Bombyx mori: one gene and its partners. The protein of the gene in region 1 purifies or fractionates together with the protein of each later gene. This does not show direct contact. Links are inferred from orthologs where the notes say so. Each region holds a gene or a part of one and is shown on either strand. Other genes may lie near its edges.

Region 1 (8,259 bases):
CTAATGTTGCTATCAAAAGACTAACTGCAAAAGTATACCTAAAATCATAACATTTTGTAAGTTATTATTTTCGACTCATCTATTTTATGCGTTTTATCTTTTTATCTTACCCAATATGTTCATCAATTGTAGTATCTTCAACAAATTCAACCAACTTATTCAATAAAAGAGGTCCTGCAAAACCTGCCATATCAGATACCAATTTAAGTAAACCAATACTGTAAAACTCTACTGCAAAAACCTTATGCAGTGCTCGTAATAAGGAAACATTTTGTCGTCGTACGGGGTGGACCCGAACTCGTGATGTTGATGTTACAGGTGTTGAGGCTTGTGGCACTGTTTCACCTATAGCTCCATATCCTGTATCATTGAAAGAAACTATTAAGGTATATTTGAGATATAAACTGTTTATTTTATTTATTTTATTGGATAATGTTAATTATATCATTTTACAGTATATTATTTTCTCATAGGCAGCGGCTTGGCTCTGCCCCTGGCATTCCTGATGTCCATGGGCGGCGATAACCGCTCCTCATCACGTGGCCCATTTGCTCGTATGCCTACAAGGGGAACAAAAAATATATATATCAGTATTTCCTTCTGGATTTCTATGAATACATAATTAGAACTGCTTTTAAAATTTAATCTAACATTTCTAATGTGATTATATTATTTCCAGAAAATATTCTAGTTTTGACCTCATCCTTGACCAAAACAATTAACTGCAATATCAATAAAGTTTTTATTTGTGTACCTGTGCTTATAAAAGGTTCATGTGGTATATCAGCATATTGTTGGTGATGATCAACATTTCCAACCAATGCTCGATCCATTCTGGCACCAATATATGAACTACGATATTCTGCTGGTATGTCGAAAAGTTCTTCAGGATCTTTTAGTTTATTCTCCAGACCTTTAGACATATATTTTAAATATGGCATCAAATCCACAAGTATTTTCGTAATTAGACTAAACATTATATGCATATATTACCTTTTTGTAGCAAAGGGTTCACCCAAGTAAACATCAACTTTGAAAAAAAGCTGTTGCCCTGCATAGCTGTACCAAGAACATCATCATCTACATGGGGTATCAGTGGAGTGTACTCGCTCTATTAAAACAGATATTTAAAATACATTTATTTGCCTTGTCAGTACTCTAAATACACAAAACTGATATAAATTTATACTTACATGAGAGTGTTGGGAGCCTACTAAGCATGGCGAGTAAAATGTTGGTCGTGAGTAATTTGAAGGAATCAGAGTTAAAAAATACAGTACGTGACAACATAATGCAGCTGTATTGAAACCTGTTTGTGAACCAGAAATGATGTTGCTACGGAGAGCTATCAGGTTTAAAAGAACTGTACAGCACCATAAAAATAATTGCATTACTGGACCTCGAGAGCTACGCCCAAGACGGTGTTTCAATGCTAAAACATATCCAAAGTGCACCAGCCATGCTAAACAGGATGAACCAGCAGCAAAATAGTCTACTGGATATAGAGTGAAGTCAGGTTTGGTAGTAAATATATATATTTCTATGATCGGTATGAAGGCTAAGCCTAAAACAACAAAACTTCGAAATATTATGGCACGTTCTTGAGTTTTTTCTCGTATCACCCAATCTTTTCGATATCCAACAAAATACCCTGATACTATAGCTATTATAAAGTACACTGGTACTTGTAAGAATAGCTCTTGAAAACACACGCTGAAGTCTTTCGTGGCATCATTCCATGGATGAAGCCCTCCAGGCCCGCACATATCTTCCCATTTCCAATTTATATTCAATATAAAAGACATTCTGGTCTTCTATTATCTCTACGATGTTCCGCAATAAGTCACAAGGGCACTGTTATAAGATTCTACTATTTAATTAGAAAGGGTAAGTATGTTCTTTGTAGATTTATAAATAAAACACAATGAAACACGCAACTAATAACCATTTTTCATGTTTCGTCTTTCTATTGTTGATAATTATTGTATTTCTACTGTACGTATCGTAAGTTATCAGTTTACTGTTTAATTTTTATCTTTTTCCTTTTATTTTGAATAATATTTGTTGATTTGAACAAGCACTAGTTTACTTCTCATTGATTTGATGTTAAAAAGTTCAAAATTAATAAATCATCAAAAATAATCAAAATTCAACAACGATGACACTGATGACATATTAAGTGTATAATCTATGCTGATGACAGTGAAAGCGGAGTAGTTTTTTTAAAGGGATTTTATGACCTCGTAACTAAGACCTTTAAGTCAAGTCTTATTTTAATTTATATTCTTATTTTTATGAAAATGATAACATCGAGTGAAATAAAATGAAATGAAGATTATTAATTTGAGACATTAATCAACTGGGATGAAATTAAATGAAATGAAATGAGATGATATAGGATGAAATATAATCTCAGAAAAGTGGTTGTCATTTACTAACATTTTTTTCAGTGGACTTTATGGAGGATCCCGAGAAGTTATGTCCAGCGGCTTTGTTTCATTTTCCCACATTTGTGCACTTTCACAGATATTAAACAGCTAATAAACCACCGTTATTACACATTTAAACCTGAAGAAACACTAAAAAGACAAAATAAAACAAATCACACAGCTTCACTCCTCGCTTTCCCGCCAAAAAGTCAACATAATAGCAAATAAAAAATAAGACAGATTAGTAAAAACAGACAGTATTATCTAATAGGTTGGGGAAAAAGTATTATCGCATTATAGCATGTATGAATAAGCAGGCAAAGAGCGTGGCTTATACACGCTAGTCTGTCGTAGTTATATTTTTTTTATGTCATTAAAAAGCCGGTGTATCTCTTTTTATTGCTTTTTGGAAGTTTTGACGTCAACTCGATGAATAGCACATTGAGTGAGCGTGAATTTCCGCAGACCTTTTATCTTGAAAAAAAGACAGTTATGTTAGCCACAGTTTTATTCCAATGTCCCAACCATCGTGAACAACGATTATTGACATTTAATACACAAAACAACACCCATTTATATATTATACATCACAATAAACTATTAAAAAAACATTAAAATAAAACTTCAAGTGACGCTTAACTCGGGTTGCTGCCAAAACTCTGATCATTTAAAATAAGAATAGAGTAATGGTAGGCCATTGAGATTTTTACTAATGGAATCATTAACATCTAAAAATATTAAATAATTCATGGTTTTAAGTAATAATTATTATTACAATATATAAATATAGAATTGAACAAAAATAAACTTAAAAGTCTGTGAATTATAACCATTAGCAATTTTTTTTAATTTATTGTTCAAGTCACAGACAACTCTTTCGTTTGGCAGTATATACTTTACTAAAAGGTTTACTATAAGGCTGTATGGGCTAAACCCTTTGCCTATTGACGAATTTAAAAACCATGGCACTTAGTTTTGGGATGTTATCAAATAAGTAATTTATTTTTTTGTAAAACAATGCCAGGGTGAAAGAAATGTTGATACATAAACTAAACAACGTGAAAAAATAAGACATAGTTTTTCAAGTACAAATAGTTTTGACATAAAGTTGGCCCACTTTTGGGCATTGTCCTTTCTATAGTAATGGGATCATGTCTCTACCTACAAGATGGCAAAAAGTTATCGAACAAAATGGTACTTGCATACTTTAGTTAAATGTAAATAAACTATTTTCCTATATTAAAAAATGTTGTGAATTTTCTTACAAAATGCGAAGAAACTTTTCTCCCAACCTATTATGTTACAAATACTAAATAGCTTGTGCTATATATATAATATCTAAGATTTGGCTTTATGGTGTAACACTTTTGCCTTTCCAGTTGGAAAAATAAAACTACAAACTACTACTATTATGCTCTACATAAATAATTATTACTAGAGATTTATTGTTATGACAATGGAAAAAATCAACATTAATTTAAAAAATAAATTCAACGAAAGTGAAGTGAATCCTGTAACTGATATCATTGACTACCTAGTAAGAAGTGCAAATATATCCTTTAAGAATTCCCATGCTAATGAACAACCGGTAAGGACATGTGAGAAACTGCAAATGGCCCTTGAAATTTATAAAAGATCACCTGTAGAATTCCTCATGCAATTCGGAAAATATTTAGCTCCTAATCACATAAAATACTTTGAAAATATCTCTAGCTCCAAAGATCAAACATTTAGGAATTACGTGCACTATTTGAGTGACTATCATTCGGAAACAAGCAGACGCAAGAGGATAAAGAACAGAAGATATAAGGCATTACAAAAAATGAAGATTAAAACTGATTATTTTAGTGAAAAACAAATGATGTACAGAAATCCTCTTTTATATGAACAGTTGGTTGGGCAATATTTAACAGATGAAGAAATAAAAGAAAGAGATCGAATAACTGAAAACGCCAGTTTTCTTAACTTAATATTGGAAACTGTAGATCACAACCACATGAGAGAGGTGAAGAATGTGCAAATGCTCGAAGAAGGTATTCATGAAACACCAGAAGCTTCTGAATTTTCTTTGAATGATAGTACTAATGAAAACATAAATTTTCAACACAAAAGAAAATGGGGTGAATTCACTACCCCAGATACGAAACCTGACTATATTCCAGAAAACAGAAAACACAGAGTTATTAGTGCTCCAGAAAAGAAGTTATTGTATGATGAGTTCCTTCAAGAAATGTATAGCAGCTTTATAGATGGTAATGATATTGACATTGATTATAAAACTATTGATAATGATGAGCAGTATGATGATTTAGAGCAGGAGTCACAAGATGCAGAAGATAAATATTTTGATTCTGAAACAAATGATGTTGAGAACTTAGAAGAACACATGCACCTTGTAGAGGAATATGGTCAAAGTAAAATAAATAATCTTGAAAAAGATGACCCTCTTGATGTGTTTATGGAGCATATATCTAAGAAGTTTCAACTGAATTAAATGATTGTTTACTAATATGAAAAGTTCAATAATATTAAAGTAATTATAATCTTTAGGTTAATTTCCCAACCAATGTCTTTTCTTTTCTCATAAACCATCAACATTATTATCAGTTAAAGTTTCTGTCTAAGTTCAACTAGTAAAAAATGAGATGAGAGATTATTTCATAAGATGCAAAACACTGCTCATCCACACTATTTTCACATACTTTTTTGTTGTGTACCATCCAATTTTGGACTCTTCTGAGCACTATAACATATATTTCTTTAAATGAGGTTTGAAAAGAATCCTCAGCAGTAGGTAGTGACCAAGCGATGTACCTTTGAAGTCACAAGCATTAGAATGAAAAAAATAATTCGCAATAAAAAGTGATAGTATTAAAATACAGAAAAAAATCAGATCGGTCTGTCTTTAATTTTGAATAAAGACTATTTTTTATATTACTTTGTTATTTGTACTGAACAAAAATTTTTATTTTCATTGCAGTAAGCTTAGGTAAGAGTTTTTGGTTGACAGCAACTTGCCTGCGTAAAATAGCAGAAGCACATAGGAATGGCTAGTACTTATGATCAACAAGATAGGTTAGGAATATTTATTGTGTTCATGTGAAGCAGGGCACCTAGTGTTGAGTGGTTACTGGAATCCAAAGATGTTACAACGGGAATGCCACTACCCACCTTTACAATTTCATTGACAATAGTGTGTCATCCACAGAAATGAATTAAATTAACGTGGCTCTGGTAAGTTTGATCTGAATGGCAGATTGGCTCTCTTTTTTTTTGCCTGTAATATTTCCCTCATGAAATAACTTAATTCCAACATTTATGAATCATAGGGCCAAAATCTAAGACATGTGGGCTCCCATATAATGTTATGACACAAGACAGTTTTTTTTAAAACCTCGTATAGTCATATGCTCATCTGTCAATAAGCGCAATAAAAACAATTGTTCGGGCCTAAAGGATAAGAATTTATCATATCATTCAGATATGATAAGATTTTTTTAATGAAATACATATTGACACATATCCACGAATATTTTCCACAATACAAGCAAACTGGCGAAAATTATAATTTGCTTTACTAATAGAGCGTCGATAAGCGTTCCGGCTGGAAGAATGGGACAGTCATTACACAATTTGGTTTTCTTTAGCTTAACACCAGGTGGGCAGTGAGCACTTTCAACCGTTAATCTAAAAAAAGTAGTTAAAAAGTGTATGTATGCAATTTTAAGTATAAAATATATCACTTATTTACTGGTGGTAGGACTTCTTGTGAGCCCGCACGGGTAGGTACCACCGCCCTGCCTGTTTCTGCTGTGAAGCAGTAATGCGTTCCGGTTTGAAGGGTGGAGCAGCCGTTGTAACTATACTGAGACCTTAGAACTTATATCTCAAGGTGGGTGGCGCATATACGTTGTAGTTGTCTATGGGCTCCAGTAACCACTTAACACCAGGTGGGCTGTGAGCTCGTCCAACCTAAGCAATAAAAAAATTATTAGTGATCTCGCGTCAGGTACAGCCAAAATTGCCATCCATTTTTTGTTTCCGGACGTTTCTACATCCTGTTTAAGTCACATTTGATAATTAAAAATAATTTCATGTTAATAATCCGGAGAAGCCTTGATATTGTTCGCTATCTATTTATGCAATTGTTACACAATATTAGTCGTTAAATATAGAAATGTTACATAATATCTTTATTAAATATAGAAATGTTACACAATTAACTACTTTCTTACTATAAACGTATCGAATTAATCGTTTGAAACAAGGTATGCGTTTCACTAACGTCACTTTTCGTTTGCTGTTGGACACTTCCTCTTTCTGGCACGATCGTGGTATGCATACCTACTACGCTTAAAGTGCAAATTTCACATTATACCTACGCGAAATGATTTAGAAATAGCTGAACAATCTAACACTACCTGCTACAAACACTAATACACTATATAGTTCTGTCCCTTAACTGTGTAATGTAGATCATACGGATAGTAATAAGGCGTGACCACCGTTTCATGTTGCATTAACTTAATAAAATATTAAATGAAACAAAACACCAGTCTGCATTAAAAATACTAAAATGCGAACAACATAATAAGACCAATATAAATGCTTTAATATAACTATAACTAAAAAAAGTATTTTCTTCGGTTTTCGAATATAATTTAATGTAGGTACTTTTACACTTTAATCTCGCTTATTTTATTGTCATTATATCATCTTCCGTGACCACGAAAACCTTACAGTATTTGAAAGGTTGGAAATAATATAATGACTATTAATGACACAAAAAAGCCAAGACTAACATTAAAAGTAGCTTTAATTATGTAACTGGAATGTTAATAGAGGTTTTGCCGAAGGGCTTTAAACTCCCCATTAAAAAATGTTTTATCTCTTTTCTTGTCCACGCGTGTATAGTATAGTAACATTCAAGTTATATAATATTAGGGGTTAAAGTATGAAATTTGCCAATTTGTACTGAAAAATTAAAATTGTTTTTTTTTCATTGAACATATTTATTTAATCAAAACATCTACCATTATTATCTATACATTGCTGCCATCTAATAGGAAGGTAATTTATGCCTTTGCGATAGACCTCTGGTAATCTAGATTCTACAAACTGTGTGAAAGCATTTTGTACTGCCTCCTGGGAAGAAAACTTTGTATCACGTCAAAAATTGTCGAAATCACGAAAAAAATGGTAGTCCGTGAGGAGCAAGGTCTGGCGAACACGAAGGGTGACTAATGGTTGCTAATTAAAGTTCCTGTAGAGTTAAAACGGTTTCTCGTGCTGTATGAGGTCTCGCGTTATCATAGAGCAATAATGGTGAAGATCGATTCATGAGTCGGGACTGTTTCACTGCAAATTTGCTATTATTGTTCGGTGTTCATTAGCGGTCCCCTCTCCAAACGCAACAATGATATTGCGAGCTGTTCTGCAGCGTTAGTTCGGCGTCGGAATTCGTATTCAAAAACCACTCGTATTTTCGAAGTATCCATGTTTCTTGTCTAAGCTGAATAAGAAAAACAACTGAAAGTCGATAATCGAATGTTGCACATTTTTTAAAAGAAGAGCCTCATAGGTACCATTTGAAAAAAGTTTCACTCAAAAATCTGAAACCATGAAGGTTCTATGTCAATTCGAAGTACCTACCTATTTCAATAGAACGGCAATTTCATACTTTAACTTCTATTATAACTAGCGTACCCGACAGACGTCCTGTGGATGCATACACAAAAATTCACTCAAGTCAATCCAGCCGTTTAGTTGCAGTATACATAAATAACCTAGATACTGACTGCAGCGTCATCTGCCGGGCTGATATTTGAAT
Region 2 (9,553 bases), on another chromosome or scaffold:
AAGGAAGAACGTGACTCTCGCGCAGAAAGGACAGGTTGAGACCAAGTACCAGTACCTGGTCTTTCAACCTGTCCAACCAATAATACGCAAGTTAATAAATTCTACAGGATTTACTTCGATTAGAATTAAAAGCTAAATCAAAAAATTATGGTTTTTATCATGGAAGACATTACGAAAGCGCGTTGGTACATTATTATTTAATGATAAGATTTTTATAGGTTCTCTGGCTTAAAATCTACACAGCTATACAAATCAAATAATTAAAAACAATTGTACTTAAAAAAAACTTATATTTTATAGTTTATCATTTACGCAGATCTTCACTAGATATTCCATATTTCTTTTTCAATGTATCAATTTCTTCTTGTTTCTTATCAATATCAATACCTTTAAAGGCTTTGTTGGATCTATAGTAGAGTACAACCAGATACCTGTTACAAACATTAAAACCAGATAGATGGTCACAGGCATTTTTTGCATCAAATATATCTTCATAAACAACAAATGCTGTGCCTCTTGTTTCTGGAGTGTTCCCTCTGAAATTGAAAATCAAATGATTGCTTTAAAAATATTTTTCTTATTAGGTTAATATAAAGTAAATCAAATGTCAATTTTATGACCAAATGCTCAAATTTGACACACATACACCAAATAAGGTAGTAGAAAGTACCACAAGTACTACACCAAACAAGTAGAAAGAAATCATATCATTAATTAACATAATCACACTTCATTACTATGACTTACTTATTCTTAATTTAAATAGCCAGACAAATTTTACTATGATATTTTTGGTCATTTAATAGAAATTATTGATAAAAGAGTTCCAGTCTTTCACAACTAAATATTTTAAATCTCATTATCTATTGCTTAGATTTTAAAATGAGCTCAGAATCCACCTGGTGGAAAATGGTTAACACAGCCCAAAGTCAACAATCTGAATGCTGCTACACACCAGACATAAGCTTGAAAAGTTAGTTGTTAAAACTAGCAATTTTACCATTCAAAGTACAATCTGTTCAGAAAAATATGCAGGATGCTTTCTGCCTGTTAAGGCTTACAATTCCACCAGTAATTATGAATATTTATAAATTTTGCAGGTTTCCTTTTTATATAAAATGTTATTCTTTCATCATTGAATTTATTTCATTAACAAGTATGAAATATGTATTTCCTTACAAAAAGTAGTAAGTGTCTGCAGTATTCAAAGACCAATTTGAATGTTTCACTTGATAGAAGGTACATCATGTGCTTTATCAATAGAGAGGGTTCAATAATAGTGTATTTCATAAAATGAGTTTTCATAGCTTTACAAGTTTACAACTAAAAAAATTCTAGCAATTTGTCTAAGTATAATTACATAGAGCCTATGCTCACAAGCAAATTTCACAATTCACTATTAACATACTGTGATAAAAGAAAATAAAATAAATATGCTTTATTGCTGTGAGCTCTCACAAGTAGAAACTACCAATGGTATCTGAATCTAAACATCAGATAATTATACATTCTGATTTTATACAATAGAATTGAGTATTCGACTCGACAAACTTCGACTACGACAAATGGGGGAATTTTCTTTAGTGCTATCAACGTAAATCTATTGTGTGTTGTGTTATGCATCTGTATGGTTATATACGACTATTTCCTGTCCATTTCTGCATCAAATCACTCATAAAATATGTTTTGAAAAGTATCACAGGAGATTACTCCAGTTCTACAGGGACTTTGACCTAAGACCTACGGTGTTAAAGGAATGCCCTGTGAGTAGAGGAGCTTCATTAACCGCTTGATATCCTGTCGTCAGTGGACTTATTTAGAGAGAGAGAGAGAGAGAATACACTTTATTGCACACCAACACAATTTACATTTTAAAAAAACAAACAGTCAAAAAGCACATATGTACAATAGGCGGTCTTATCGCTAAAAGCGATCTCTTCCAGACAACCGTTTAATTTACAGAAATTCTGTAAAATATAAAAAATATAGCAGGTGCGGTGTACCATATACAATACATTATTATAGAAAATATATACATATAATAAACAGATATATACCGTTTACATAATATAATATATACCAATATACATACTTACATACAATACATACTAATATATTTACACACACTTATTAAATCAACAGTATGGAAATTATAAATGATAATGATGCAACAAACAGCACTAAGCAGTTATGTAGTGTTCCTTCACCATTCTTTTAAAACAGTTTAAAGTTGGAGCACTTCTCACTGCATCCGGCAGAGCATTCCACAATCGAACCGCCTGGACGGTGAATGAATTGTCAAAGAATGATGATGAATGCACCGGCATTTTCAGTCTCAGGTTATCTGATGATCTCAGAGAAAAATTATGCGTATCACCTAGGAACTCGAAACGTTCTTTGAGATATGTAGGGGTATGGGGGTTAAAGAGAGTACAGTATAGTAATGAAAGGACATGAGTATTGCGGCGAAGGCGAATTGGTAACCACTTGAGCTTAGTGCGAAATTCAGATATATGATCATATTTCCGTAACCCAAATATGAATCTTATGCAGAAATTTTGTAGCCGCTCAAGTTTATCAAGTTGTGTTTCGGTTAGATCCGGATAGCTGGAATCAGCGTAGTCAAGAATTGGAAGAAGTAAAGACTGTGCAAGCGCAGTTTTAGTGGCAGTTGGAAGAAAATTTCGTAACCGTCTCAACGATCCAGCTGATGCAAACACCTTCCGGCTAACCTCTTTTATTTGTGCGTTCCATGAAAGGTTTTTATCAATTAAGATACCCAAATTTTTCACAGTATCGCTGATAGGAATTTGTGCGCCGTCAAATAAAATAGCCGGAAGCTGCGACCATGTAACTTTCGAACACATTCTTGAACTACCGACAACAATGACCTGTGTCTTTGACGGGTTCACCCTCAATCCATGAGACTTACTCCAACGGGACAATATCGATAAGTCATTGTTCAGGATCTTTATCGCGTTGGTCAGCTCTGGTAAAGAAGATTGCGTATATATCTGTAGATCATCTGCGTACAGGTGGTAGGAAGAAGTAAGTTGTAAAGAAATAGAATTTATAAAAATTTAAAAGAGTAAAGGAGATAAAACGCCACCCTGCGGTACACCTACGTGCGTTTCACACCATGAAGAATAAGCATTCTCACAGTGAATACGCTGTCGGCGACCAGACAGGTAACTGCGAAACCAATCAACCACGGTTGGAGATATGTTAATGGAGCTAAGGATGGCTAGAAGTATGTCGAAATCGACGGTGCCAAAAGCATTACTGAAATCCAGCAATGCCAACACCGTCAGTTTCCCACTCTCCATGCCAAATCTGATGGCATCCGTAATATGCACCAGGGCTGTGACCGTGCTATGGCCAGGACGAAAGCCGGACTGATAAGGGTTTAAAAGCTCGTTTCTCGTAAGAAACTCACTGAGCTGGTTGTGAATCAGGCGTTCTAAAACCTTTGAAAGAAACGGTAGAATGGAAATTGGACGGTATTCTGAAAAGGATGTAGGATTCGGCTTTTTTGGCAGTGGTGTAATCTGTGCTTCTTTCCAAGCCTTTGGAAAGATGCCGCTAGATAATGATTCATTCAGGATATGACAAATAATGGGAAGGATTTGGTCTAGGATAGGAAGGATCATATTACGGGCCACACAGTCACTTCCAACAGCATTGGAAGTTATGGATAATATGCTCCGCTTAACATCACAAGCCGTTAGGTGATTAAAAACAAATGGAGAACAATTTGGGATCGGAAGAGATAAAATGTGATTTAATGTATTAGATTTAATTGTCCCGTCATAAAGGGATGACGCACAGAAATGTTGATTTAATAAATCAATACTCGAATGTGATAGATGAAAGTCATGTTGTAATTTTCCAATCCCCAGTGATTTAAGAAATTTCCAGACTCTAGCTGGATCACCATTTTCGATAGCACTATGGATATGCTGGCGTTGTGCATCCCTACACACTCTGTTGCAGTGATTGCGGATTCGGTGATAATTTGTACTATTGTCAGAGGTTGGTTTTTTTTTATATTTTAATTTAGCAGCTGCCTTCCTGGTCAATAGACTTTTAATTTCATCAGTAAGCCACGGCGCTGGCATATGTTTAATTCTTACTGGTCGGAAGGGTGCGTACTTGTCATATAGATCAGTTAGCTTGGCATTGAACTGATCAACTTTCTCATTGATTGAGGTAGAGCACGTCAAAGCAGTCCAGTCAATGCTGCCAGCATCTTCTCGAAGACTTTCAAGATCCATACCATTAAAACTGCGCAGCAGAAGAGTTTTTGATTTTGCTTTGGGAGGTCGTACTTTATATGAAACGAAGATAAGATCATGGTATGAGAAAGCGTCAGCTGAACACTGTCCATGGTCAGCCACGTGGTCACGAGAAGAAACGAAAATAAGATCAAGAAGTGAAGGAGCACAGTTTGGAAAATGATGAGTCGAGTTCAACGGTAGAACAGTTAAGTTTACTGATTCGATCATCGAGCGAAATAAAGTGGTTCGAGAATTGTTTTTAAGTAGGCATGTGTTAAAGTCACCCATGATAATGGTATGAGTATATGAAGGCATTGTATTTTCTAGCAGAGTTTCAAAAGAAGTAAAGAAATCTATACTTGACGAAGGACAATAATAAACACCAAGTAACATCTTCGTGTGTTGAAGTTCTATTTCAAGAAATAAGTGCTCGCCCGCATATGGCGGCGTAGGCTGTGCCGATACATTAACAACTGCACAATTAAAATACGAACGGATATAAATGGCAACGCCACCACCACCGCCATTAATACGATCGTTCCTAAAAAGTTGAAAACCAGGAATGGTATAAGATGTAGAAGGAAGACATGGCTTAAGCCAAGACTCTGAAACAAGTATAGCATGGATATTCTTAGAATCAAAACTTGCAAGCATGTCAGGGAAATGAGCCGCAATACTCTGGGCATTGATATGAACGACATTAAAATTCCTAGGAACACCTAGGAACACCAGATTTAGCTACGTAGGATCTACGTTAAACAATTAGTAAAGACAAACTTACACTCTTATTTGTCTTATTGCGCCATATTTGCCGAAGATATCATACATTTCTTCAGCGGATATTTTGTAGGGCAAGTTCCTGATGTATAGGATTCTGTTGACTTCTGGAGGTAATCGTACCTGAAATATACTTAACATGTAACTTTCCAATATTTACTGTGATCTACCTAACCAAACATTTGTCAAAGCGTTGTCTTCAATTAACTTTTCAATACTTACATTTGCTCTTCTTTGAAGTGCTAATGCCATTTTGGTGTGGATGAATTATTTTTACAGTTTGTTAAACATGAAAATAGATAGTTGTATGATTTTTTAGGTATGTTTATCAAACTCAAACATAAATGTAAATACCTACCTACTATGTTTATAAATTTTTTTAAAGGTTTTTGTGACCTGGTAACAAGGACCTTTAGGTCATGTCTTATTTTAATATATATTCCATATTTTTTATGAAAAATGAAAATATGAACTGAAATGAAATGAAGTTGATTAATATGAAACATGGCATGAAATGAAGTGGACTGGAACGAGATGAGATGATAAGGTATGAAATATAATTGTGGCGGGTAGCCATCATACAACGCAAGATAATTGACAGATGCCTGAATCTCGCTTACGACATTTTCAAGATAAAGCGCATATATACAAGTTCCGAACAACAACATTCGGACCGTCGGTCTACCGAGCAATATCACCCGCTCGGTGGAAGATCTTCCCTTTGTCGTATATCTCTACAAACTGGTGACCCCGACGTGATCGGTCTACCGAGCAATATCACCCGCTCGGTGGAAGATCTTCCTTTCGTCGTTTAAGCTTCCTACAACTGGTGACCTGCGACGGAACAATCGCAACCTTCTCATTCATCATCAGCGCATCAAGAACTTCGGTTACCACAATCCCCGCATTCTCGCAGATAAAAGCAAGTCATCTACAGTCGTCCCACAGCAAGCCAGCATCGCAGCCTCAACAGGACCATCGCAGCCGACTCACCACGCTTCCTGGCCCTACGGCACGCACCTACACTGCCTCATCGCGCAGCATTTTCAAGCTCAGTCTCGACTCACCGCAGACTTCGAGCAGCACTGGCGACAATCACGCAGCATTCAAGCTCAGTTTCGACTCACCGCAAACTTCGAGCAGCACTGGCACTTGCAAGCTAATCTCAGCACGGACAACGATAACTAAATATGACACGATCTCCAGTCTCGGAGGGGAGTGATGTGGCGGGTAGCCATCATACAACGCAAGATAATTGATCGATGCCTGAATCTCGCTTACGATATTTTCAAGATAAAGCGCATATATACAAGTTCCGAACAACAACATTCGAACCGTCGGTCTACCGATCAATATCACCCGCTCGGTGGAAGATCTTCCCTTTGTCGTATATCTCTACATAATCTCAGTAAAATGGTGGTCATTTACTGAGACTTTTTCAGTGGATTTTTTGGAAGATCCCGAGAAGTTACCTTCAGCGGCTTTATTTGATTTTTCCACATTTGTGCACTTTCACAGATACTAAACAGTAAATAAACCACCCTTATTACGCATGTAAGCCTGAAGAAACACTAATAGAAAAAATAAAACAAATCACACAAGTTTACTCCTCGCGCTCCCGCCAAAAAGTCATACTTATATTTTATTAAGAGATTTTATGACCTGGTAACTAAGACCTTTAAGTCATGTCTTATTTTAATTTTATTTTTTATTTTTATGAACAATGTTAATATGGAATGAAATGATATTAAATGAAATGAGATGATATGGGGTGAAATATAATCTCAGTAAAATGGTGGTCATTTACTGAGATTTTTTCAGTGGACTTTTGGAGGATCCCGAGAAGTTACGTCCAGCGGTTTTGTTTAATTTTCACATTATACATTATAATAGAATATAATGTATAATTTATTTCATATTACATTATAATAGATGTAAAAGGCGTAAAATTAAATAACGTTTAAGCAAAATTATAGGAATTCACTAAGATTTCAATGGACTTTTTGGAACAACCCATGAATTCAAGTCTATCGACTTGTTCCACTTTATAGCACAAGTTTCACGAATATACACTTTCACAATACACACTTTTACGAATACTAAATAGATGATTAGCAAATTTCTGAAAACCTGCCTTTCAAACTTCTTCGTTATTTCTATTTACTTTTATCCAAAACATTGTGTTGCTGTCCCATATACTTAGTCTGGCCATAAATACTGTTACAATTAAAAATAAAAAAAAATCTATTGCATTTACTACTTTTACAGTGTGTTAGTTTAATACATAAATAGAAAACAATTTAAAGTATAAAAAGCTTATTCGAAGTGGTCTCCATTGGCTGCAATACAGTCCTTTAAACGTTGAGGCCAGTTATCAATAGAAGCACGCACTCTTTCCATGGGAAAAATTTTCACTGCCAATCGTACGGATTGTTTTAGGGACTCCAAATTATCATGGCGTTTAGAGCAAGCCGTACTCTCTAAAACTGACCATAAATCATAATCCAGCGGATTAAGATCGGGACTAGACGACGGCCAGTCTTCGGCTCTGATGACAAAATTTCTAATTTTTAAAACTAGATTAAGTCGAACTATTTTATTTTGTATTACACCATTTAGAAAAAGCGGTATTTATGACAAGTGTTTTTACTATAGGCAAATCAATTATCAATATAATTGATCTATGTATTTTCTTCTTTTTTTTTATTGCCCTTGTAGACAGACGAGCATACGGCCCACCTGATGGTGAGTGGTTACCGTTACCCATGGACTTCAGCTATGCCAGGGGCAGAGCCAAGCCCCTGCCTACCGCTTAATACTCTCCACAAGCCTGGTTTGAAGAAGGACATGTCATAGCGCTCGGGAAACACCGTGGAGGAGAGCTCATTCCATAGCCGTGTACGTGTATAGTACGTGGCAAGAAAGACCTCCGGAAACGCACTGTCGATGAACGCAGCGGTTCCAGATAATATGGATGAACTCTGCTCCGATGGCGGGAGGTGCGATGATAAAAAGGTGACGAGGGGATCATCTCAAGCAATTTTGTTTTGTCAACATTGCATTTTTTCATAATTTAGTTTATTCCCTTAATTTTTAAAACTATCCGATTTTAGTGTCGCAATATATTCCAAAAAAATAATCTAGTAACTGCTACTTTAATTTTAAAGAACTCATACGCAGTTCGCGGTATATAGTATAGGTACTATATGCCGCAAACTGCAAAATTATACTGTATACTACACTTAACTAGGCAGTTACTCTTTGCCTTTATTTTTATTGCCTTTGTAGATAGACGAGCATACGGTCCACCTGTAATTCCATTCCGATAGAGGCACCCGTCACGCGCGGACGTGCTCATCGACCACTCGATCGCCCGGCCTTTGTTCGCCCGGCTTTTGTTAGCCCGGCCATTGTTCGCGCGGCCTGTGTTCGTGGCACATCTGCCGACTAAGTGCTCTTCCTGGAAGTTTTTATTTGTTTTGTTTCCTTTTGTTATTTCTGTGTTCGTGGTACATCTGCCCACAAACTGTCTTCCTGGAAGTGTTTAATTGTTTTGTTTCTTTTTGTTATTTCCGTTTTGTTGTGATTTTTCTTTGTCCTGCAGTAATCGTGCCGCATCGCCACCTGTGTTCAATAGAACCGCTCAGGTCCGAGAAGTTGGGGCCTCGCCGCAAGGCGAGTGTTTTCTAAGACCCAGGGTAGCCCCACCTGGGCACGTAGACATCATGGACGCTGTATTTGCGGAGTTTCTCCGGCTTCGCTACCCAAAGCTCACTTCCGAGTTTCAGGCCTTCAAGGCCGATCACACTGCGAGCCCTCTCGTGGACTCCACCGAGCTCGCTGCTCCTGCGTCGCCTGTACCTGCGTGCAAAGCTTCTGCATCGAGCACCGCAGCCTCCGTCGTGCCTGCCGTTCCCGCGTCGCCTATACTGGCGAGTAAAACTGCTGCGTCGTCCGCCGTGGTCACCGTTCCAGCAGCGCGATCATCCGCGGCCTCCGTCGCGCCGTCCAAAACACCTACTCGTAGGTCACCTGCGCCCGCCTCCTCGTCCTCCGACTCTGACTCGGAGATGGAGGTCGACCTCGCTCCCGCCTCATCGACGGATGGATTCACCCTGGTGCAAAAGGGTAAGAAGCGTGCCGCGGAGTCTCGAGCTCCCGCGGCCGCTAAAATTAGCAAAGCCGCGAACGCGTCGCGCCCCCGCCCTCAGACTCCCGTTGCGCCTCCAGCCCGTGCCACTCCGTCGCCGCGTCCGGTGGCACAAAATAAAGCCCAGACCCCTCCCCCGGTAATCCTTCAAGAGAAGGCAGCTTGGGAACGAGTTTCCCTGGCCCTTAAGGCCAAAAATATTAATTTTACGAATGCCCGTAACCTCGCGAACGGCATTCAAATTAAGGTTCGAACATCCGACGACCATAGGGCCCTCTCTTCTTACCTCCGTAAGGAGCGTATAAGTTTCCACACATATACGCTCCAGGAGGAGCGCGAACTCCGTGCC
Region 3 (7,686 bases), on another chromosome or scaffold:
TCTTTGCATACTTATTAAATACCTAGCGTTTTACCCCTTTTAATTTGGGCCGAGGACCGAGTCTTCCACGAGGTTTCTGGATGGCGAGTAGGGTGTGTAGAACCGATGGCCCAAGCGTCCGATTCTCCGAAGTAAGAACTTGGGCGGGGTACCGCGTGTCTGGTTACCGTGGTTAACACAGCAACCAGACACGCGGCCGGGACGCGATACACCGCCAACTGGTAGATCTTTAAACGATGATAGTGTCCCCCTTGGCGTCGCGCTAGAGTGCTATAGCGCACCGCGCGGTCTCGACCCTCTCAGGTCGCCCCGTGGAGGATGCTTTTCAGCGCCCTACGCAATGAAATGAAAAAAAAGATCTAAGGGTACCTATTGTTACGATACCATGAGGTGACATGAACAAATAATCAATTGCCACTTTACTGTCGATGCTGCGTGTATTTCGACGGTGCACTATCGTTATACTAGACAGGATGGCACTGGGGATACATATTTTCAAGCCAAACGATGTTGTTAACCTGGTGTAAATGCTTTAATAAAGTAGAATAGCATTTGGGTTGTAAAAGTATTCTTAATTAACGTAATATTGATAGAAGAGGATAAAATCGAATACTTCAACAACATCCTTAAAACTACATAAGGAAATCAAGCGTACTTACTTTAACATCATCGAGTTTGTTGTTTTTAGCGATCAGCACCTCGAGACGTCGCAGTGGCTTCACCCACGCTACGTCGGTTAATTTATTCTCTGATACATTTAAAACCTTTAGAGAAGCCTACAAAAAAATATGGTAAAATTAAAAACATTAAATTATTTGTGAGTAATGCTCATAATTTTGAGAAATACGTTTCACAAGTAAATTCAAGCCCGAATGATAAATAAAAAATGTTTTTATGATGGTTGCGCGAAAGCTCCCTTGGTCAGTCAATCTTCGATTCATTTCTCTGTTTATTAATTTTTCGTATTTAGAAAAGCCTAAATATGTAGTCGGATCATTGGCATGTACTGCGTGTAAAGAAATACCGTATAACATAAATACCAACTTCTAACCTATACCAAGTCGAAGGGCCGCACAATGTGAGAATCTGTGTATCCAAATCTCTTTATTACTATCTAGGAACAATTTATCAAACTTTTTTCAGGTCGAGCTAAACAGCAAAAACAACGTATGATTTCAAATGTGGCTGACATTTGTTTAAGATGGTTAGTTCTCTATTTTGGCCCCGAATGACGTAATGAATATAAACACGCTAATGAAGATCTCATCAGTCAAGTTTTACATGCATATCGTACGCGGCAATTTAGAAAAATTCAAATCTGTTGAATTTCGTTCCTGCTACCAAGGCTTAAATATTGTTTGTTATTTTATAATTTTAATACATACGCCAATAGATAAAGTAGTCCTCGGATCGAAACACAATCCATCAAATCCTTCTGGATTTTGCTTCTCAACGTGTAGTTCTTCTAAATATTTTAAATTCTCCAAATTCTCAACAACATTAATCCGATTGTTGCCTAAATACAATTTTTTTAATTTATAAAGGCACTGTAAGCCTTCAATTTTGCTTATTCTGTTACATTGTAGATGTAAATGCGTCAGATTGTATAAGAGTTCGATGTTTTCAATTTTTTCAATTTTATTGTTGTGATAATAAGCGTAGATTATGTTACTTGGATGTTTTGGTTCGGGCTAAAAAGTAGGTAATGTTATCGATTTTAACGTGAAATCATTGAAATGAGTATGTACTACAAGTTGAGCTGTTTATTAGTAAATAATATGCCTGTGACACTAGAGGTGTTATATATCAGCTAATTTCTAAAATTTTAGTCACGAAAAAGCATCGTCTCTCAAAGAATATGTTCGGTACTCTGCCCGTCGAATTCGAATGTTGTAGTTTTAATTTTGCAAGGCGAATTTTTTTTCCGAGAATAGATTTTACTTTAAGAACATATGCCGCAAAGAAATTCGAAAAAGAAGAAATAACATGTCATAATAAAATTTGACTCCGAAAAAATAATTAACTTACAAAACTTACTTACTTACTTACTGATGGTAGGACCTCTTGTGAGTCCGCGCGGGTGGGTACCACCACCCTACCTATTTCTGCCGTGAAGCAGTAATGCGTTTCGGTTTGAAGGGTGGGGCAGCCGTTGTAACTATACCTGAGACCTTAGAACTTATATCTCAAGGTGGGTGGCGCATTTACGTCGTGGATGTCTATGGGCTCCAGTAACCACTTAACACCAGATGGGCTGTGAGCTCGTCCACCCATCTAAGCAATAAAAAAATAAAAAAACTTACTCATTGCATGGATTATTCGGTATATTCGAAACCCACATTTGTAGGTATAATCAATCTACCTATTCCTGCCGTGAACAATCAGTCCCAATTATTATTATTGTCTTATTTAATACCTATCACTCATGGCACTATGCACATAAAAACACAAACACAGGGCAGAAAATCAAGAAATACTTACGATATTGGAGATGTTTTTTTCGTGCATGAATAAATGTGTTGGTCTTTTGAAAACATTTGAATATTTTCGCTCTACAATTTGCTTTGCTTGTTTGCGAATATTTTTTTCACTTTCTTTAAGCTCTGTTTCTTTCGGTAATTTGCTCATAACTTGTCAGAAATAACAATAATTCTGAATAGAGAATATTTAAAGGCGAACAGAATTACGAAATGTATATCTTGATAAAAACAACTCTCTCAGTAATGACTGGCTTCTGGTTATTAAGTTTATCAAAAATATTGAATAAACACGGTAGTGTATTTTCTATGGCAACTGGTTTTAAATTGATCAATTAATCAACATAACAACATACCAAAGAGTTTAGAAATACGACGATATCAACGTACCCTAGAGTGTACTTTGTAAGTACTCTAAGTTGATATGTAACTGTGAGCATAGAAAATACACTTAATTAAAATACCTGTGAGCTTAAGATAAGTGGATGAGGAGAACCGCAGACCGGGCTCAGTGGTGTGGATTGGGAGAGGCTTATGTCCAGCAGTGGACGACTGTGGGCTGTTGATGATGATGATGATGATGATGATGAGCTTAAGATTCCATGATAGATGCAGCTGATCTAGCGTGGTTGTAATTATGTATATCTCACGGGTTTTTTTTTATTGCTTTGGTGGGTGGACGAGCTCACAGCCCACCTGGTGTTAAGTGGTTACTGGAGCCCATAGACATCCACAACGTAAATGCGCCACCCACCTTGAGATATAGTAAGTTCTAAGGTCTCAAGTTTAGTTACAACGGCTGCCCCACCCTTCAAACCGAAACGCATTACTGCTTCACGGCAGAAATAGGCAGGGTGGTGGTCCCCACCCGCGCGGACTCACAAGAGGTCCTGCCACCAGTAATTACGCAAAATATAATTTTGCGGGGTTCATTTTTATTACACGATGTTATTCCTTCACCGTGGAAGTCAATCGTGAACATTTGTTTAGTATGTATTTCATTAGAAAAATTGGTACCCTCCTGAGATTCGAACACCGGTGCATCGCTCAACACGAATGCACTGGACGTCCTATCCGTTAGACCACGACGACTTCTATCCTTCCTTTACCTTTTTTTACTTTTTATTTTATCTTTTATTAACCTCTTTGCTTTAATAACTTTGTTGCGTGAGCTGTAGAAGTGTAGTTAATAGTTAATTTTGTTAACTTACTGTTTTTTTGTTTGTTGAAACGTGCTATTAATGAAAAATTGTAACCGTTTAGTATCTCTAAAAGTCCACAAGTATAGGAAAATGTGACAACACAGCTGTACTCAACTGTTTTGGTCAGCATTATCGGCAAACGAGTATCTGTCCCACTTAATAATAAGTGGCGATCGTCTCTGATGAACGTCAACGTCAGAAGCATAGACTAAGACTAATTCCACTGCCGGGGCTCTTCCCAAGCTTCGTTAAAAGATGAAAGCTTATTTCAAAACCAGATGATATGTAAACAGATCTAAGAACTTACTGTGAAAGATGCAGTGAAAGAAATAATAAAAAAAACTGTGCACAACCTTTGGTGTTTAGATTTCAACGTTAAGTATTGTATCTATGGTTTAGATACGCCGTGTCTGCAGTAATCTGCACTGCAATTTATGTATTGTCTATGAATACTCTTTGTTTTGGGCTGCTACGTGATATCAATATTAGCTGAATTAGAATATAAACTTTAGAGTCTATACGATTTCAACAAGCATCTTGCCTTTAAAGTAAGTGTGTATATTTTATTAGAAACGTTTTATTTATTTTATAACCATTTAATTTTACATTAATGACATTACTAACTCGAACTATAACCTTAAAATAATTTACAGAATAAAATGGGTGAAAGATACAACATTCACAGTCAACTTGAACATCTACAGAGCAAATATATAGGCACAGGCCACGCCGACACTACAAAATATGAATGGCTTATGAACCAACATCGCGACTCTTGCTGCAGTTACATGGGTCATCCGGATTTGTTGAGTTACTTTGCGATCGTAGAAAATGAATCTAAAGCGCGCGTAAAATTCAATTTGATGGAACGAATGCTTCAACCATGCGGCCCACCGCCAGAAAAGCCTGAAGATTAAACGCTTCGATTTTAAAAATAGAATTAAGCTAATTTACTTATTATTTGACTTTGAATCCCTTATCATGACATAAATTCGAGCAGTTTGTTTTCATTTCTATAACCTTTAACAAACACAATTAGTCTATTCAAATAGTACCACCAAAAACTCAACTATTATCAATAAAAACTACAAATTTTAATAACAGGTATAGTTTATAGTTTAGAATTGGTTCAATGGTCAAATGTTTGACAATCTTATTTTTATATACAAACTTGTTTCATATTGTTTTATCTCAAAGAAATCAGTTTTGATTTCCATTTAGCCTTATATATATACAGTCAAAATCTGTTATAACGACATCGAAGGGACTGCTCATATTCAGTCGTAAAAACCGATAGTCGTAACAACCGGTAATGTTTAATGTGTATCGTGCAAGTACAAACAAATCGATAGGGAATTATTGGAAAAATATATTTACAAAATACGTGATTTTTCTTCAATATTAATTTGTTTTCTTTTTCTTTGCGACATTTTCAAAGTTTCACGAATAACTCCACAAAGTTTTGGTGCGTTTTATGTATAGATAAGTAATAAACTAACTGAAGAGATATGAAGAAGCGGTCTTTGACTCTACTGCATGCACGTGTTTTGTTTCTAAGAATTAGAAAAGACCCTACACTAAACTAAATCCTATTGTTTTCTTTCCTGATTTTAATAGCCATTGAAGACAAATGTGGATACCTATTCAAATTGTTTACAATATAGCTTAGCCGGTCGTTCTAACAGATCTAATTCTCCAAAATATTAGTTAAATGTGGTCGTTTTATGAGGTATGTCGTTATTACCAATGTCGTAGAAAGCAATATTTTTAATAAGGCGGTCATATGGCATTCAGCCGGGACCTTTGTTCTAGGTTGTTATAACCGGCATGTTGTTCTAAACGATGTCGCAGTAAACGGTTTTGACTGTAGTTTAAATATAAAGTAATTTAAGAGATTCTTTAAATAACCTGGGAGTATTTTAATCATGCATATGCTTATTAAAATATTGAAAGCTTCTTTTTGATATTTTTATTATGTATGTCTAAAATTGTTAAATAGGTTACATTACAATGAACCACCAAAACTGTAAAATTTAGGAAATACATTCATCTTTCAAAGGGGAAGCCAAGTAAAATGCAAATTAGTATTCATTGACCATTTAATAAAGATCTCCATTCGTCCATTTTCTTTTTCAAAATCTCTTCCCGTTTCTTTGTTTCTGCTTCTAAGTGTTTTTTCAATTCAAAATTCTTTACAACATCCACAACTAGAACTCTTTGTATATTCGGAACTATTATTTCACATTCTTTTAATAAAACTTCCATTACTTTTGTGACACACTCAACATCCATAGAACCGATTTGTGTGAAATCTGAAATCTGTTTTAACTGTGATAACACTGACATTGTTATAATTCCGTGGTTTACTTCTGTGCTGTTCTTTGCTATATGTTCTTCTATTTCAGTGGGGTCAATGAACATTTTGTTGCCTATGACTGCTACAGAGCATGATGTGATTATATCAAACATTGGAACGGCGGCATTAGCTAGAGCAAGTCCTGCTGCATTGATAGCAGCTGCTAAACATGACCCGTCATGTTCTAAGATGTATATTAAAACATCAATCTAAAATAGTAAGAAAATGAAGAAATGAATTATTTCATTTTTACAGTCAATCATTATGAGTACATTGGATGGAATATAAATTAATGATGAATTAACAATAATACTTAAAAAAAATTTAACTAGTTAGTAAAAGTAGTCTATATTACAACAGACAAAAATATGAGCTTTGGAGAAACTGTAACAACACTATTCTCTTTCAAAAAACTCTAAATTCATATTTTCAATTATGTTTTAAGTTGTGGCATAAGTTGATGGAATATATTATGTTAAGTGCTTATATTATTGTCCTCAGCTTCTCGAATGGCGGTTGCGACTGGCAGCCCAGTTAGGGAGGTTATTTGATCACACCAATGGTTAGGTAATCGGTCGTGGGGTCTCTTTCCATTTACTCTGCCCGTCACAATCACTTTGTCCAAGTTATATGACTGTCGGTGGGCAATATGACCGAAGTAGCTGAGGATCCTCTTGTAACAAATTGTTGAGAGCCAGACGAGATGGAAACAGCTCACGACACAGGCCACGATCAAGTTTCAGGGACACAATCTTCAGCGACGAAGAAGAAATTATTGTCACTTAACTGTGACTGATCATCAATGAGGTTTTAGTATTTTATTTTTTGAAAGACTAGATAGTATTGTCCTGAAAATTGCAGTCCCTTATTGCTTTGGATATAACGGAATTATTATTTTACCTGATAGTTTGGGAAGAAGTGCCTACAGACAGCCGGTTCAAGAGCCTGCCGTAAAGCAACAGACAAGGCTTTCTCTTCTACATCAGGAACATATGGTCGACGTTTCCTCGGGCATGAAAACGGTGCAAATTTCACTTCACAATATAACTGGCCAAGCTGACTGAAAGTTAAAAATGGAAACAAAAGAATAAAAAAAGATTTATTATATGGCATTAGGATTAGGATTTATTTAAAGCTATTATAGATATAGTATATGGTGGCCCAATGTATTTTTTAAAGCTCATGTTCAATTAGTTTAATCTGTGGGGAAGAAGAATAATTTCATTTAAATGCCTAAATGTAAGCTTTTTATATATATAGCTGAAATATTGTTAAATGAAGTATCTATGTGAAGTTAAGGTGAAAGAACATACATTAGCTCTAATAGAAATTATTTATTTAATTTCTATACATAATTCTACATACCGGAATTCATTTTGATGTGGTATCTCCCTAGGATCAAATACAGAGCATACAACTTTAGTTTTCCTTAACTCCACATATGCTGAACCCTTTGCTTGTGAAACCATGTCAGTTCTGGCAACTAAAAAAAAAAGTAGATTTGATATATTATTATGTGGAAACTGAAAAGTTTACAAAATTATTTGTAAATTTTCACTAAAACGAAAATAAGAAAAGTAGTATTGCTGCAAGCTGCAAGAATGTTTTGGAAATATTCTTGAAAACAAATAATTGATTCGTGAGATAATAC

Evidence for each region.
Region 2: the proteins of coiled-coil domain-containing protein 97 (region 1) and 14 kDa subunit splicing factor 3b purify together in Homo sapiens (affinity purification with mass spectrometry; 3 studies listed by BioGRID and IntAct, counting the BioPlex papers as one, with this or other methods). This does not show direct contact. The link is inferred for Bombyx mori from reciprocal best matches to the Homo sapiens genes CCDC97 and SF3B6.
Region 3: the proteins of coiled-coil domain-containing protein 97 (region 1) and splicing factor 3B subunit 5 purify together in Homo sapiens (affinity purification with mass spectrometry; 3 studies listed by BioGRID and IntAct, counting the BioPlex papers as one, with this or other methods). This does not show direct contact. The link is inferred for Bombyx mori from reciprocal best matches to the Homo sapiens genes CCDC97 and SF3B5.

The regions. Positions count from the first base shown.
Region 1 is NC_085118.1:10,063,531-10,071,789, forward strand, and holds coiled-coil domain-containing protein 97, read left to right. Parts: upstream 1-3,797; 5' UTR 3,798-3,879; coding exon 3,880-4,923; 3' UTR 4,924-4,992; downstream 4,993-8,259. Other genes in the region: ATP-binding cassette sub-family C member 10, read right to left, coding at 1-38, 111-360, 755-913, 994-1,111, 1,194-1,805. UniProt on the Homo sapiens protein: May play a role pre-mRNA splicing through the association with the splicing factor SF3B complex which is involved in branch-site recognition.
Region 2 is NC_085111.1:9,665,275-9,674,827, forward strand, and holds 14 kDa subunit splicing factor 3b, read right to left. Parts: upstream 5,380-9,553; 5' UTR 5,307-5,379; coding exon 5,277-5,306; intron 5,178-5,276; coding exon 5,059-5,177; intron 537-5,058; coding exon 305-536; 3' UTR 96-304; downstream 1-95.
Region 3 is NC_085126.1:5,963,219-5,970,904, reverse strand, and holds splicing factor 3B subunit 5, read left to right. Parts: upstream 1-4,067; 5' UTR 4,068-4,227; intron 4,228-4,332; 5' UTR 4,333-4,338; coding exon 4,339-4,596; 3' UTR 4,597-4,675; downstream 4,676-7,686. Other genes in the region: uncharacterized protein LOC101736097, read right to left, coding at 660-776, 1,386-1,691, 2,482-2,628. UniProt on the Homo sapiens protein: Component of the 17S U2 SnRNP complex of the spliceosome, a large ribonucleoprotein complex that removes introns from transcribed pre-mRNAs.